2 linked regions of the Canis lupus familiaris genome follow. The protein of the gene in region 2 interacts with the protein of the main gene of each other region in a biochemical or structural test. Links are inferred from orthologs where the notes say so. Each region holds a gene or a part of one and is shown on either strand. Other genes may lie near its edges. The genes, in order: MAGED1 and PJA1.

Evidence for each region.
Region 1: the proteins of PJA1 (region 2) and MAGED1 form a complex in vitro, tested with the Homo sapiens proteins (2 studies listed by BioGRID, with this or other methods). The link is inferred for Canis lupus familiaris from reciprocal best matches to the Homo sapiens genes PJA1 and MAGED1.

Annotation. Positions count from the first base shown.
Region 1 is NC_049260.1:44,748,489-44,755,202, reverse strand, and holds the start of MAGED1 (melanoma-associated antigen D1), read right to left. Parts: upstream 4,299-6,714; 5' UTR 4,254-4,298; intron 1-4,253. UniProt on the Homo sapiens protein: Involved in the apoptotic response after nerve growth factor (NGF) binding in neuronal cells. Inhibits cell cycle progression, and facilitates NGFR-mediated apoptosis. May act as a regulator of the function of DLX family members.
Region 2 is NC_049260.1:53,796,670-53,803,295, forward strand, and holds the start of PJA1 (E3 ubiquitin-protein ligase Praja-1), read right to left. Parts: upstream 3,646-6,626; 5' UTR 3,495-3,645; intron 1,582-3,494; 5' UTR 1,355-1,581; coding exon 1-1,354. UniProt on the Homo sapiens protein: Has E2-dependent E3 ubiquitin-protein ligase activity. Ubiquitinates MAGED1 antigen leading to its subsequent degradation by proteasome. May be involved in protein sorting.

The sequences.
Region 1 (6,714 bases), about 9.0 Mb from region 2:
TATTTTACTAACTTTAAATGTATTTGAAAATTTTAGTAATAAATGAAAAAAGGAGCCAACGTCAAGGGTTCCAACTAGCTTCTTCCAAACTGGATAGTTTGATCAACAGAAGAAATGATGACTGCAATGGATTGAAAAGTACTAAATATATAAATATGCACAAGTTGAACAAATAGAGAAAAGGACAACAAAAACATCTCAAAAAATATAAATATACCTTATGGGTGATGGTTTTAAATACCAGCTTTAAGACTTATATTTTGCATTTTATAAATAACAGGTCCCTCAGCAGGATTTCTTCCTCTCCCTACCTCTTTATTATTTGATTTTTACCTTTATTCTTTTGTATATGATATACAGTGATAAGAGCATGGGATATTATAGAACTATGCATTTGAATGTGAAGAGCTTTTGAGGCTTTTTAAAAAATATTTTATTTATTTATTCATGAGAGACACACAGAGAGAGGCAGAGACATAGGCAGAGGGAGAAGCAGGTTCCTCGCAGGGAGCCCGATGCGGGACATGCCCTGAGCCGAAAATAGACACTCAACCACTAAGCCACCCAGGCGTCCCAGCTTTTGAAGCTTTGTAATTGAACAAGTTTCTTAACCAATTTGATTCCTTTCCTTTCCTATTAAATGGAAGAATTTGTACATCATAATTCTTTTTTTTGTTTTAATTAAATAAAATGTTATACATTGCCTGATGATAAATAGAACCTTAGTAAGCACCACTTGTCTTTTTTAAAACAGAAATATCAGCTATGAAAGGCACATTGGGAAAAAGAAAGAAATTTGAAAACGGATTAAGTGGGGCACCTGGGTGGTTCAGTCGGTTCAGCGTCTGCCTTCGGCTCAGGTCATGATCCCAGGTCCTAGGATGGAACCCCACATTGGGCTCCCTGCTCAGCAAGGAGTCTGCTTCTCCCTCTCCCTCTATCCCCACTCATGCTCTGTCTCTCTGTCATAAATAAAATCTTTAAAAAAACTTTTAATTAAAAAAAGAAAATGTATAGGTATTAGATGATATTAGGAAATTATTCTTAATTTTTATTGGTGACATAATGGTAATTAAATTATCTATAAAATGTCCCTAATATTAGGAGATAAACACTGAGATATTTAAGGGTAAAGTGCCATGATGTATGTTTCTCAAATGGATGTATTAAGTGGTATTTCAATCAAAATGTCAAGAAGAATTTTTGTGGAAATTGATGAGCTGAGTCTAAAATGCATATGAGGGACGCCTGGGTGGCTCAGCAGTTGAGCGTCTGATTTGGCTCAGGGCATGATCCAGGAGACCCAGGATCAAGTCCCACATCCGGCTTCCTGCACGGGGCCTGCTTCTCCCTCTGCCTCTGTCTCTGCCTCTCCCTCTCTCTGTCTCTCATGAGTAAATAAATAAAATATTTTTTAAAAATGCATATGAAAATTCAAAAGACCAAGAATCACTAGGCATTATTGAAAAAAAAAGAACAAAACTGTAAGACTAAATGACTATATACATATGATATATATTATAAAAGGACATCCATTATAACAGTGGTACTTATATAAGGATAGAAAAATTAACCAAACAGAACAAAATTCAGAAGAAATAAACCCACATAAATAACTTAGTCATTTGATTTATGAAAAACATGACTCTATAGGAGGGAAATAGCTATCTTTTCAATAGTGATATTAGGTTGATTAAATATCTGCTTTTTTAAAGAGTGGGAGCATGAGGTGAAGTGGGGGCACAGAGGGAGAGGCAGAAGTAGACTCTCCGCTGAATAAAGAGTCGAATACAGGGCTTGATCCCAGGACCCTGGGATCATGAAATGAGCCAAAGGCAGACATTTAACCGACTGAGCCACTCAGGCACCCTTGAATGTCCATTTCAAAAAATGTACAAAAGGGGGGCCTTTACGCATACCAATAACTCATACTGAAAACATACAAAGAAATCAATTACAAATAAATTGTGAATACAAATGAAAGATCAAACAATACCACCACATAGGTTAAGCAGGCTCCCTGTAGGAAGCCTGATGCGGGACTCAATCCCAAAACCCAAGGATCACGACCTGAGCCAAAGGCAGATGCTCAACTACCTAGTCACCCAGGCATCCCAGGGCCAACTATATTTAAAAGATTGCCTGTACAGACAGACAAGTACTCAATTCCTCCAATTTAACATACCAAACATTTATGGGCAACATATCATGAGCACACAGTGATAAGAGCAGTGAGAGAGGTAAGCAAATATGCTGTAGGATAGCACACAATGCACTGCGGATAAAAGATTGAAGAAGACGTGAGGATGGATGTAAAGATACGTCTTCTAGACGTATTAGGTATGTAACTAACAACATACCTAAATGTATGTAAAGACATGTCTTCCTAGAGGGCTGGTAACTAACAACATACCTAATTGATAGCAAGAAGCTCGCCAAGATTAAAAAACAAAAGAATATGGGAAATGTATGTGCCTGGATTAGGTTATTTCAGTATGTAGAGTGCTACATTAAAGCCATGCAAAAAAGTGACAATGGGCAAGGGGGGTGTGGAAGCAGAGTGAACAAATACAGAGACACCAACATAAGATATATCCTGTTTTTCCCATTAATAGCTGTACATAGTTCGTGCCCTCACTTCCTTTAGGTTTCTGCTCAAATGTTGCCTTACCAGGGAAGCCTTCCTCACCATCCCTATTTAAAATACTACATCTCCTCTCCATTACAACTTACTCATATTTACTATATATTCATTTACTGTCTCTCAACTAAAGTTTAATAAGCTTTTTATTTTCCACTGTTGTATCCTCAGTGCTTAACACTGTCTGACACATAAAGTTATTCAATAAAAAAATTCTTAGATGAATAAATGATGGTTGCACACTGGGTTGAAGCCGTGGGATATTTAAATGCTGTGTTACTATAACTTGACTAGAGAATACAGAGACATCAGCAATACCCTTCAAAAAAGTTTTTAAGTGTTTTAGTATCATGAAGTCGAGCCTGACTTTTTTCTAAACGAACTGAAAATTACACCTAGCCCAGAAAAAGATTTACGTCTTATTTTGGCAAGTATAACACACTAGTTACAGGAGGAAAGGAATAAATTGCTTGTTCAAGGGAATTCTTGGTGAATAAATTCCTCTTTAGAGCCTGAATAATCCTGACACTCATTTTAAGTTTAATGATCATATCCCCTCTCTTGGGTAAAAAATTGAATAATAAATTGTGATTAACTAACGTTCTCACGAGACAAAGTAAACATGATGAATGGAACAGAAAAATATATTTCACCTTGCACGAAATAGAGAATACTTGCGAAGTTCCCAGGAAAACTTTGAAAATCTGTCAGCTTGCTGTTCAATGTTGCCACCAAAGACCAGAAAAAGATTTGAATAGGCATAACTCATATGAAAAAATAAATTTGTGATTGGATGTCATATCCGTCAACCATTTCTGTCCTATGACAAGTTCTAAAGGAGATGGGAAAGCTTCGACCATCAAGAATTGACACAAGTTTTACAGGCAAAACCCCTATGACTGCTCCTCTAAAAAGTGGGGATTGAGTTCTGTGCCAATTTTTTTTTTTTTTTATGTCAGGAGGGTTAAAATCAGTGCAGTTTCTGATGTATCATTTTGGTTAAGAGTAAAAATAAACTCAGCAATAATATAATAATCTGAACAAGCTCCTGTGTCTTAGGACTAAAATTTCTGCCACTGCTTATTTTAAGGAAATAAAAGAGTTGACCTTGAAACTGAAGTCACACCTGGTTTTGGCAAGTTTTTAATTCAAAGGACTCTGAAAGAGGCGGGCAGGAGGGGCGGGGGGGGTGGAAAGTAAAGTACTGGAGCTGAAGAAAAAGGAAGGGCGTAGATTCCTAACGGGAGAAGGGGGTTGCAAAAGTTTTGAGGCTAAAAGGGGCCGGGGAAGAAGGTGGAAGTTAAGAGGTAGGAAAAAAATCTGTGGTAGAGGAAATGGCCCAGGCTCAGAAATATCAGGAAGAGGATCTGGGGTAACGAGGAGAGGTGAAGAATGACCAGGGATAAAAGGACAAAAATAGAGAGGGAGGACAGCCTGCCATCTTCAGAATAGGTAGACAGGCGACCGGAACCATAAGCGTCAGAAACATCCTTCACACAATGTGCTCTGGGGATGAAATCTTTCCACCCCATGTTGAAGCAAGGAGGAAAGCTTCCCGGGAGGGTTTGGAGACTCACTTGTGAAAATTATGAGCCTCTTTCTTTCCACTCACCTCAGTGAAGAAAGCCCCGACACAACGATGGCGTAACCGGAAGCGCTATTTTCCTTCGTTTGGCGGAAACTTATTTTCCGACGCCACGCCCCCTTTACAGGCAACTTCCTGTGCCTCTCTAGCAAGCTTTTACAATACTTTATTGCTCTGGCTTTCAGCGTATCAGAAGCTGGTTAGTGATGTGAACCGGCTCAGAGACAGTAACTTTTTACTAATTAAAGCTCTAGGGTCGCCTGGGTAGTTCAGCGGTTTAGAGCCTGCCTTTGGCCCGGGGCGTGATCCTGGAGTCCCGGGATTGAGTCCCATATCGGGCTCCCTCTCCCTCTGCCTCTCTCTTTCTGTGTCTCTTATGGATAAATAAAATCTTTATTTTTTTAAAGATTTTATTTATTTATTCATGAGAGACACACAGAGAGAGGCAGGCAGAGACACAGGCAGAGGGAGAAGCAGGCTCCACGCAGGGAGCCCCATGTGGGACTCGATCCCGGGTCTCCAGGATCACACCCCGGGCTGAAGGCGGCGCTAAACCGCCGAGCCACCGGGGCTGCCCTAAAATCTTTAAAAAAAAGAAATTTTAACTCTAGTCATCCGAAGAACTGCATTATTTCAGCCAAACCCCACATATCCAAATTTGTCACCTCGCCTTATTGATTTAGCCCTTAAAATACCTTCCTAACCCTTAGTGCCTTGACTCTTGGATGCCAACAGTTATGTATTTGCCATACTGGTTTACCATTTTCTAACATACCATGTTGAGTAAAAAGTTCATTTTTATAAGTGGCATACTTCGATTTCGAGATTTTAAAAAATCTTAGATCTGAATCATTTTTGTCTCGGAATAGTATCCAAAGAGTTACATGCTATACTCAAATTAACAAATAAAGGTAAATTCATCTAGAAAGCATTCTTGTATATGTATATACCCCCCCCAAGAAAATGACAACTGACAAAATTTTCTTTTTTTAAGATTTTATTTATTTATTTATTTATTATGAGAGACACAGGCAGAGGGAGAAGCAAGCTCCATGCAGGAAGCTCGACGTGGGACTCGATCCGGGGTCCCCAGGGTCATGCCCTGGGCTGAAGGCAGGTGCTAAACCGCTGAGCCACCCAGGGATTCCCAAAATTTTCAATAATAAGAATAATCCTTACTCTGGTTAAAAGTTCAATATTGAATCACCTATTGCCACTACCTCCAGAAAACACTGGGTCCAAAATCTGTACCTGTTTTCCTTTTTTGTGGTTATTTTCAGTCAATCTACTACTATACAGTGAGCATCTACCATGTCCCAAATACTGCGCTACACTCATGGGCATTGCAGTAGGAACCCACAGCTTAGGAGCTAAACGTGACATTTTAAACACATAAGAGCCTGGCATAAAATAGGTGATTATTGATGTTTGTCAGATGAATAAATAACCAAAATGTGATCAGGGAAATGACAGGGGCCAGCACCAGGTTCTTACTTTTGATGGTATTTTTATAGTTCATTTCAACATTTTAACTCATATTTTGTCATTCAAACAGCAGATTCTGAACAACCACTCAGCGTAAGGTTCCGTTCCTGATATTGCCCATATAAAGAAGAATAAGACTCAGTCCTGGATTTCAAGACCCTCCAAACAGTGGGGGAAATGAATACATAAACAAGTAGCAACGCTATAATGCGACAAAATAATAGGTAAAGGAGACCTTGTAGGAACTATGACTATCCCATTGATTGGTGAATACTAAAAACCTAAAATACACCTTATCTACTAGAGAGTGCTCAATAAAGATTTGTTTAATGTTGAATAGATTATTGAATGGACGAATGAAAGGGAAGAATGGCAGTGGACTTGAAGTATACTGTGAAAGGAGTAGTAATGGGTCATGAATCTGAATGTTAGAAGAGGCCAGAGAAGGAAGGATCATGGAGTTTGAGCTTAATTATGAGGAAAACAGAAAGCCAAAGAAAAATTTTAAGCAAGAAAGTATTTAGTAATATTTAAAACCAGAATACAGAAAATGGGTTGTACTGGTGCAATCTGGAGGCAGAGAGGTTGATTCAGAGGATATTGGTGTAATCAAAGAATAAATACAGAAAATTAGGGGCTTATGCTATTAATAATTAATTGTATTTGGGAATTGAGGTGGAAAAGTTAGCCAGTGGATTATCAGAAATCCAGAGGCATCGAAATCTGATAATTTTTCCTCGACTTCCTCCACATTCAAAATTTTGACAAATCCATGCAACAAATATTTATCGAACAGTTAATATGCACCAGGCTCTGAGGATAGAGCCATGACCAAAATGGATAAAAATTTCTGCCCTCACAGGAACTACATTTTTGTGTCGGATAATAAAATATTTAAGAAAAAACATACCAGAAGGTGACAAGTATTATGAAGAAACAAAGCAAGTAAGTAGGATAGCAATGTACACAGGGGAAGAGGAGACGAATGCTATTATGGAAAAAC
Region 2 (6,626 bases):
CTCGTTCTCTGGGGGATGCGTGTTCCTCTTCCTGAAGAGGTGGTCCTCGGAGGTCTTCCAGTTCACTGCTGCTGTTGCTGCCGGCGCTGGCGCCGGTACCCGGGCTGGCACTGGCGCCGGCGCCAGCATTCACTCTGACCTGCTCAGAGTCGTGCTCCTCTTTCCCTGGCAGAGTCTCCCAGCTTTCACCACTGGACGACAGATTCTGCTCTCGACCTCGATACTTCCGCCGCAGAGCAGCAGTCCACTCTTTGTCACTGTCAGAGTCTTCATCACAGTATTTGTAGTAATCGTCGCTGTACGTCCAGAAGTCAGGGTCAGCCATGGTTCGCCGCCGTCTTGGTACCTTTTCTGGCTTCACTTGGTCATTCCTGGCTTCCCTCTTGTCTTCGGGGTACTTCAGCTCAGAGTAGCCACCTGAACTCTCACCTCTGGCTCTTCTTGCTAGGCCATCCGAGTGGCCTTCAGCGTTGGCTGTATCCCTCCACCTGGAAGTACTATGTGGCATATCATCATCATCATCAGTATCAAAAAATATTTTTGGTTTCACGCAGTTGGGGCTCGCCAGATTTCTGATTTTAGGCCTCACCACCGGCTCCTCTGCACTCTTGGGGGTGTTTTCCCCACCACCACAAATACTCACAGGAGCCCTGCTGGGATGTGCAGGGAAATTCTGCTCCCGTCTCTGACTCTCCCGGCTGTCACCACGGGTAGCCACCTTGCCTTCAGCAGATGTCTGAGAGGCCATGCTATTTTGCTGCAGGAACTCAGCTCTGCTAACAGAGCATCTTGCTGCAGGGGCCGGGTCTAACTTGTCAAGCTCCTCTCTCACATCACGCTTAAAGCTAGAGAACTGTGGAGCCACCCCAGCCAAAGACCTGGCCCCTTTCTCTGGGTCGTAGGGCTTATCATCTTTAAACTTGCCAGTTTTCCCTCTAACTGGTGCTCGCTCAACAGGCCCAGCCCCCTCCTCCTCACTATCATCTGCCCCAAAAGAGTCAACATGTCCATAAGCCAATCCTCTTCTGCTACCTGAAGCCCTGTACTCTCTCGGTGGGTACCTGGAGTAGTCCTCATTATCAACATTCAGGCTGGCTCCAGAGCTCTCACTGTCCTCCCAACTACGACGGGTGATGGAAAATGGTGACCGGCTCCTCTTGGTGGTTTGACTGGGGGCTGATCTGTGCATTGGGACTTCGGATGTTGTCTTTCTCTGGCTGGAAATCCTGTCCTGCTGGCTCGAGGATGGCCTGAAACTGACATAAGCATGCCTTCTTCCATACCTCCTGCCTGTATTGGACTGATACCCTCCTGCTGGCTTGGGCCATACGGGCTTGCTAGATTCCTGACCCATGGCTCTGACTTAGGAGGGTTTCCAATACAGCTGGGGCTTGAGCGGAAAGGCTCCTGCTCCCTGCACAAGCTTGGGAGATGGGAAAGTCAAATCAGTTCAGAATAAAAGAGCAGGGAGATCTATTTTCACTTCAGCAGGCAGTAACAGAAAGGATAAGGGGCCTTTACAATTAGTTTCACTTTCTTCTAAGGCCTGAAGTAGCATTCCAGTGACTGTCAGGTGTAGACCTGGAACACATTTTTAATGTTGGCAAAATGATTACAAAGCTGGGTTGGTTGGAGAGCCAGACTTGGGGGAGAATCTGACAGAAGATGGGGGTGCCTGGATGCTAGGAAGGTGGGTGAAGTAGTGTGAAATTAGGCCAATGTGGAAGAGGAAAGATTGTTGTGGTTATCTTATGGGGTATCTGCATCTTTTCTGAGCCCTGCAGACAGACAGGAGAAATGCAAATTGGGATGGGGTGAAAAAGAGATCACCATGTGTTCATGAATGCCTAACGTGTCTGTCAGGAGGAGAGGGACAGGTGGAAGGGGGGGGGCAGTCATCATGCAATGAAGAGATGCATGTTTGTAGGGGGAGGGGACAGGTGTACTGGGAAGAGGCGTTAGTGTCAGACAGAAGGACACCCATTCTGGATGTGGGTAGGGAAATGACAGGTGCCAGGGTGGGGGGTGGCTTCAGAGGAGAGGGGTATGTGTAAGCATGACAGAAAGAGAATGTGCATGTGTGGCTGTATATGTGCAGTGGCTGCAACTCTGTGGAGGGAGCCCGTTTACGTGTCTGTGGCAGGCAAGAAAGGGTTTGGTAGCATTGGACAAGGGTGGCCACGGTCTGTGAGTATTCAGCAAAATGGGAGGCAACAGTGGAGAATGTCAGTGTGAGTGAACGCATCCACGAGAGGGACAGCACAGGAGAGGGATGTGAGGGTGGCTGGTGGGTGGAATAGGGAGCCAGCAATCAGGGAAATATGTGTATTCACGAATGTGGCTAGCTGGGGGGTGATGGTGTCCCCAAAGAAGGATTTATGTGAGTGTTTGCACTGCAGGAACCAGCAAAGGAGGGCTGTCTATGCACGTATGTAGCAGATGGGGAGCAGGGCTGGGAGCATCTGTGAGGGCTGTGTGAATGAGAGTGTGTGCGTGCATATATATGTATGTATGTATGTGGCACATGAAAGAGGAGCCAGCAATCAAACGCTATCGTCATGTGTGTGGCAGGCAAGGGCTAGGGCAGCCCCAGAAGGGGTGTGTGTGGTGTGTGTGTGCTCACACAGAGGCAGAAGAAGGAGGGGGCTGCTTCTGGAGGTGAGTATGTGGCAGGCAGTGAGAAGCAGGGAAAGGCACAGGAGGGTGTGACATTGTGCAAGAGTGTGTGTATGTGTGTCTGTCCACGTCCTCAAGGGGAAGAGGATGTGCCAAAACCTTGAGTATGAGGGGGGTGCAGGGAGGGGGCTGCAACGAGAGGTTTCTGTGTGTGTGTCTGTATGTATGCCTGCGTACGTGTGCGTGCATGTGCACGCGCACCATGTATGCATGTGTCTGTGTATGTCCCTGCCCACACATGCGAGACATGGGGAGGGGGAGGGGGTCACAGTGTCATAAAGAGAGATGGCAAAACGTTACTGCTCACACTGGCAACTCCAAACCGATGGCCAGGGAAGGGGAATAAAAGAAAGGAAAGGCAGGCAAGGGTCTAGTTTTTCCCTGGTAATAACTGGTTTCTCAGACAATTCTTTTTCCTGGGAACGATAATATATTTACCTACAAATCTGAACAATTTGCCATTCAGGAAAAACAACTGCAAAATGGGGGAAGAAAGGACATGGAGTGCTCTGTAAAGGGACCAAGGAGGGAAGAAGTAGGGGAGGGCCCGGACCCCCACTCCCCTCTCAAACAGCAATTGAAGCCATCCGAGTAGGGGCCACGCCACGCGAAGGGGGCTGGGAGATGGAGGATGACGCCCCCGAACAGGTCGGGGGATACAGGCCTCACTCTGCAGGCAGGTCCTGCGTCCACCCCACCCCTTCCCAAGGGGCGCGCCTGAAGATCTGTTCGCTAGAGGACCCGAACCCTCGTCCCCAAGCCCCGCCACCTGCCCCGCCGCCCCTTCCGGATGAACTGAGGAAACAGCCTCCACTCACCCAGGGCTGACAGCCGCGCGCTCCTCCGGGCGAGCGGAGCTCTCGGGCCGCCGAGCGTCAGGGCCGCCGGGGCTGCTCCGGGTCTCCAGCTCCTCCCCCGCCAGACAGCAGCCGGGCAGGCGGCGACTGCGGCGGAGGAAGTGCCGGTGGCGTCGCCGGGCCCGCCCCCTCGATGTGGCGGGGCGGCAGCTGCTCTCCACCAATCAGGCTGGGCCCGAGAGCATGATTTCATTTTAAATGATGAAATCGTCAAGGATACAGAAAAGGACAGCAAAAAATGTAACCAACAGCCAGCTTTAGCAAATGTTAAACATTTAGCCATACCCTCTTCTGTTCTGGGGGTTTTCTCCCCCTTTTTAAAGATGAAGTCGACAAATTCTTTCTGATTAATTCTGATGTTCAAGTAATTACAATAATATATCATATCCTATGTTATATGGCATGGTTTGTACTAGAAGCATAAAAAAATGTGAAATTTTATCTAGAGTTGCAGGTTCATTTTTTTTTTTGACCTGGTAATTGAAGCAATTGAACTGTTTACAGTAGAATTTGTTGCTGTTAATTTTTTTTCTCTGTTAACGAAACCAACCTTTTCTATCCAAAAGAAATGATCAGTCATGAAGCGTAATACCGACTCACAACCTGGTAATCTCATTGCAGTTTAAAAATACTATAGCTATACCTTTTGGATTTGTATAATTTTACAGAATTCTGAACTCTTTTATTAATTGCACTTTACAATGCATCTTTAATATTTATGGAATGTAAAGACTCTCCATGTTCACGACAATAGCAAAGTTTTGTTCTTGGAAACAAAATGCACAATACAAGGACAGGAAACATTAGGGTAACAAATATAATAAGAATAGGATGTATGTGTAACAAACCACTAAAAAAATAATATGTCGAACAAAGAGAAAAATTCAATCTATCAAACTGCAGAAGTGAGGTGGGAGGCAACAAGAAAGGCTATTTTTTAAGACCCAAAGGGCAGGAATAAATCCAAATATATCAGTATATAGTATGGATTAACACTAATTAAAAAAAAAAAAAGCAGACTCTCAGAAATCCTGAGTGGCTCAGTAGTTGAGTGTCTGCCTTTGGCTCAGGGCGTGATCCCGGTTCAGGGATCGGGTCCCTCATCGGGCTCCCTGTGAGGAGTCTGCCTCTCCCTCTGCCTATGTCTCTGCCTCTCTCTCTCTCTGTCTCTCATGAATGAATAAATAAAATCTTTAAAAAATAAAAGGCAGACTCTCATTTTAAGTATTTTGTTTTTCTTCAAATTTGATTATATGCTGTTTATATGAGTTTCACTTAAAGCAGATATAGAAATGGAAAATATATGCCAGTTAAATACCACAAGAAATGAAGAAGGAAGGAAAGGAAGGAGTGAGGAGGGAGGAATTAAAAGAAAAAAAGAAAAGCAAGAAAGAAGACAAGAGACATGTACCAAGGTTAATATCAGAAAAATCAAGAACTCAAAATAAAAAGGATTAAAGAGAACAAAACAGGTTCTTTCATTCATAGAGAGGATGCAGTTAGTAAACTTTCTATGCCAAGCAATGTGATTTCAAAATATATAAGGCAAATATGTTAGAAATATCAAGAAAGATCAGAAAGTTCTCAATTATAGTGGGAGACTTAACCACACTTATTATGGTATAAATGGACCAAATAGACTACAAACTAAGGATATAGAGAGATTGAACAACACAATTAGTAAACCTAATCTAATGTATATATTTTTTGTACTCAAGAAAGGATGCGATTTTTATCAAATAATTTAAAATATTTCCAATATACAGAAGAGTATAAAATGCATGTTTGCATGTACCTGTCATACAGATTAAGCAGATTTTATTTTCTTCAGATGCTCAGATACGAGTCTATACCTTTTATCATTATGTAATGCCTGTATTTTTTTTTTAATTTTTATTTATTTATGATAGTCACACAGAGAGAGAGAGAGGCAGAGACACAGGCAGAGGGAGAAGCAGGCTCCATGCACCAGGAGCCCGATGTGGGACTCGATTCCGGGTCTCCAGGATCGCGCCCTGGGCCAAAGGCAGGCGCTAAACCGCTGCGCCACCCAGGGATCCCTGTAATGCCTGTCTTTATGCCTGATAATGTTTCTTGCTCTGACATTGGCTTTGTTTGGAATTAACAGAGTTGCTCCAGCTTTCTTTTTATTAATGTTGGCATGTATATCTCCCTTTATCCATTTACCTTTAATCTCTCTGTGTCTTTATATTTAAGATGAGTCTCTTGTAAACAACATCTTTTGGGGGGGTCTTTTTAAAAAATCCATTCTGATAGTCCCTGCTCTTTTAACTGATGTAGTCAAACAGTGATTCTTGATAAGTTGGATTAATATTTACCCTATTTGTAACTGTTTCCTATTCATTGCCTTTGTTCCTTGTTTCTCCCTTTTTTTCTGCCTTTTCTAATTTTAATTGGGCATTTTATAAGATTCCACTTTTTCCTCCCATAATTTCAATTATATTTCTTATTCTTACATTGTTTCAGTGGTTGCCCTTGAGTTTGCAATGTACATTTACAACTAATCCAAGCCCATTTTCAAACGATACAACCTTACTTCATGGGTTGTGCAGGTACCTTATAACAGAGTACACCCAATTCTTCCCTCATGTCCTTTATAACATTGCTGTCCTCCATTTCACTTGTCCATAAGCCATTATCATCCATTACATTGCTGCTATTGTTTTTTTTTTAACAAATTGTTATTTGTTAGATCAGTTAAGAAAAATGCAAGATTTTGTCCTTTTATACTTTTATTTATTCCTTCTCAAATCCTCTGCCTTTTTAAAACATAGATCTAAGTTTCTGTCCTATGTCATTTTTTTGTCCTGGAAAATTTCTTTTGACATTTCTTCAAGGCAGATCTCGGGAGTGGCATCCTAATGCTTATACCATTTTTTTAAATGAATTGTCCAGTGGTCTAGTCCACACTTATGGGGAGGGGGTACCCCAAGGTCAGAAATGCCAGGAGGTGGGGCTCACGGCAGGCAGGACACGGATCAGAGCATCTCAACCTCAACTTGAAATGCCAAGCCATTTTCCAAAGTGGTTGGACCAATTTATTGATTACTAGGAATTCTTTATATATTCCAG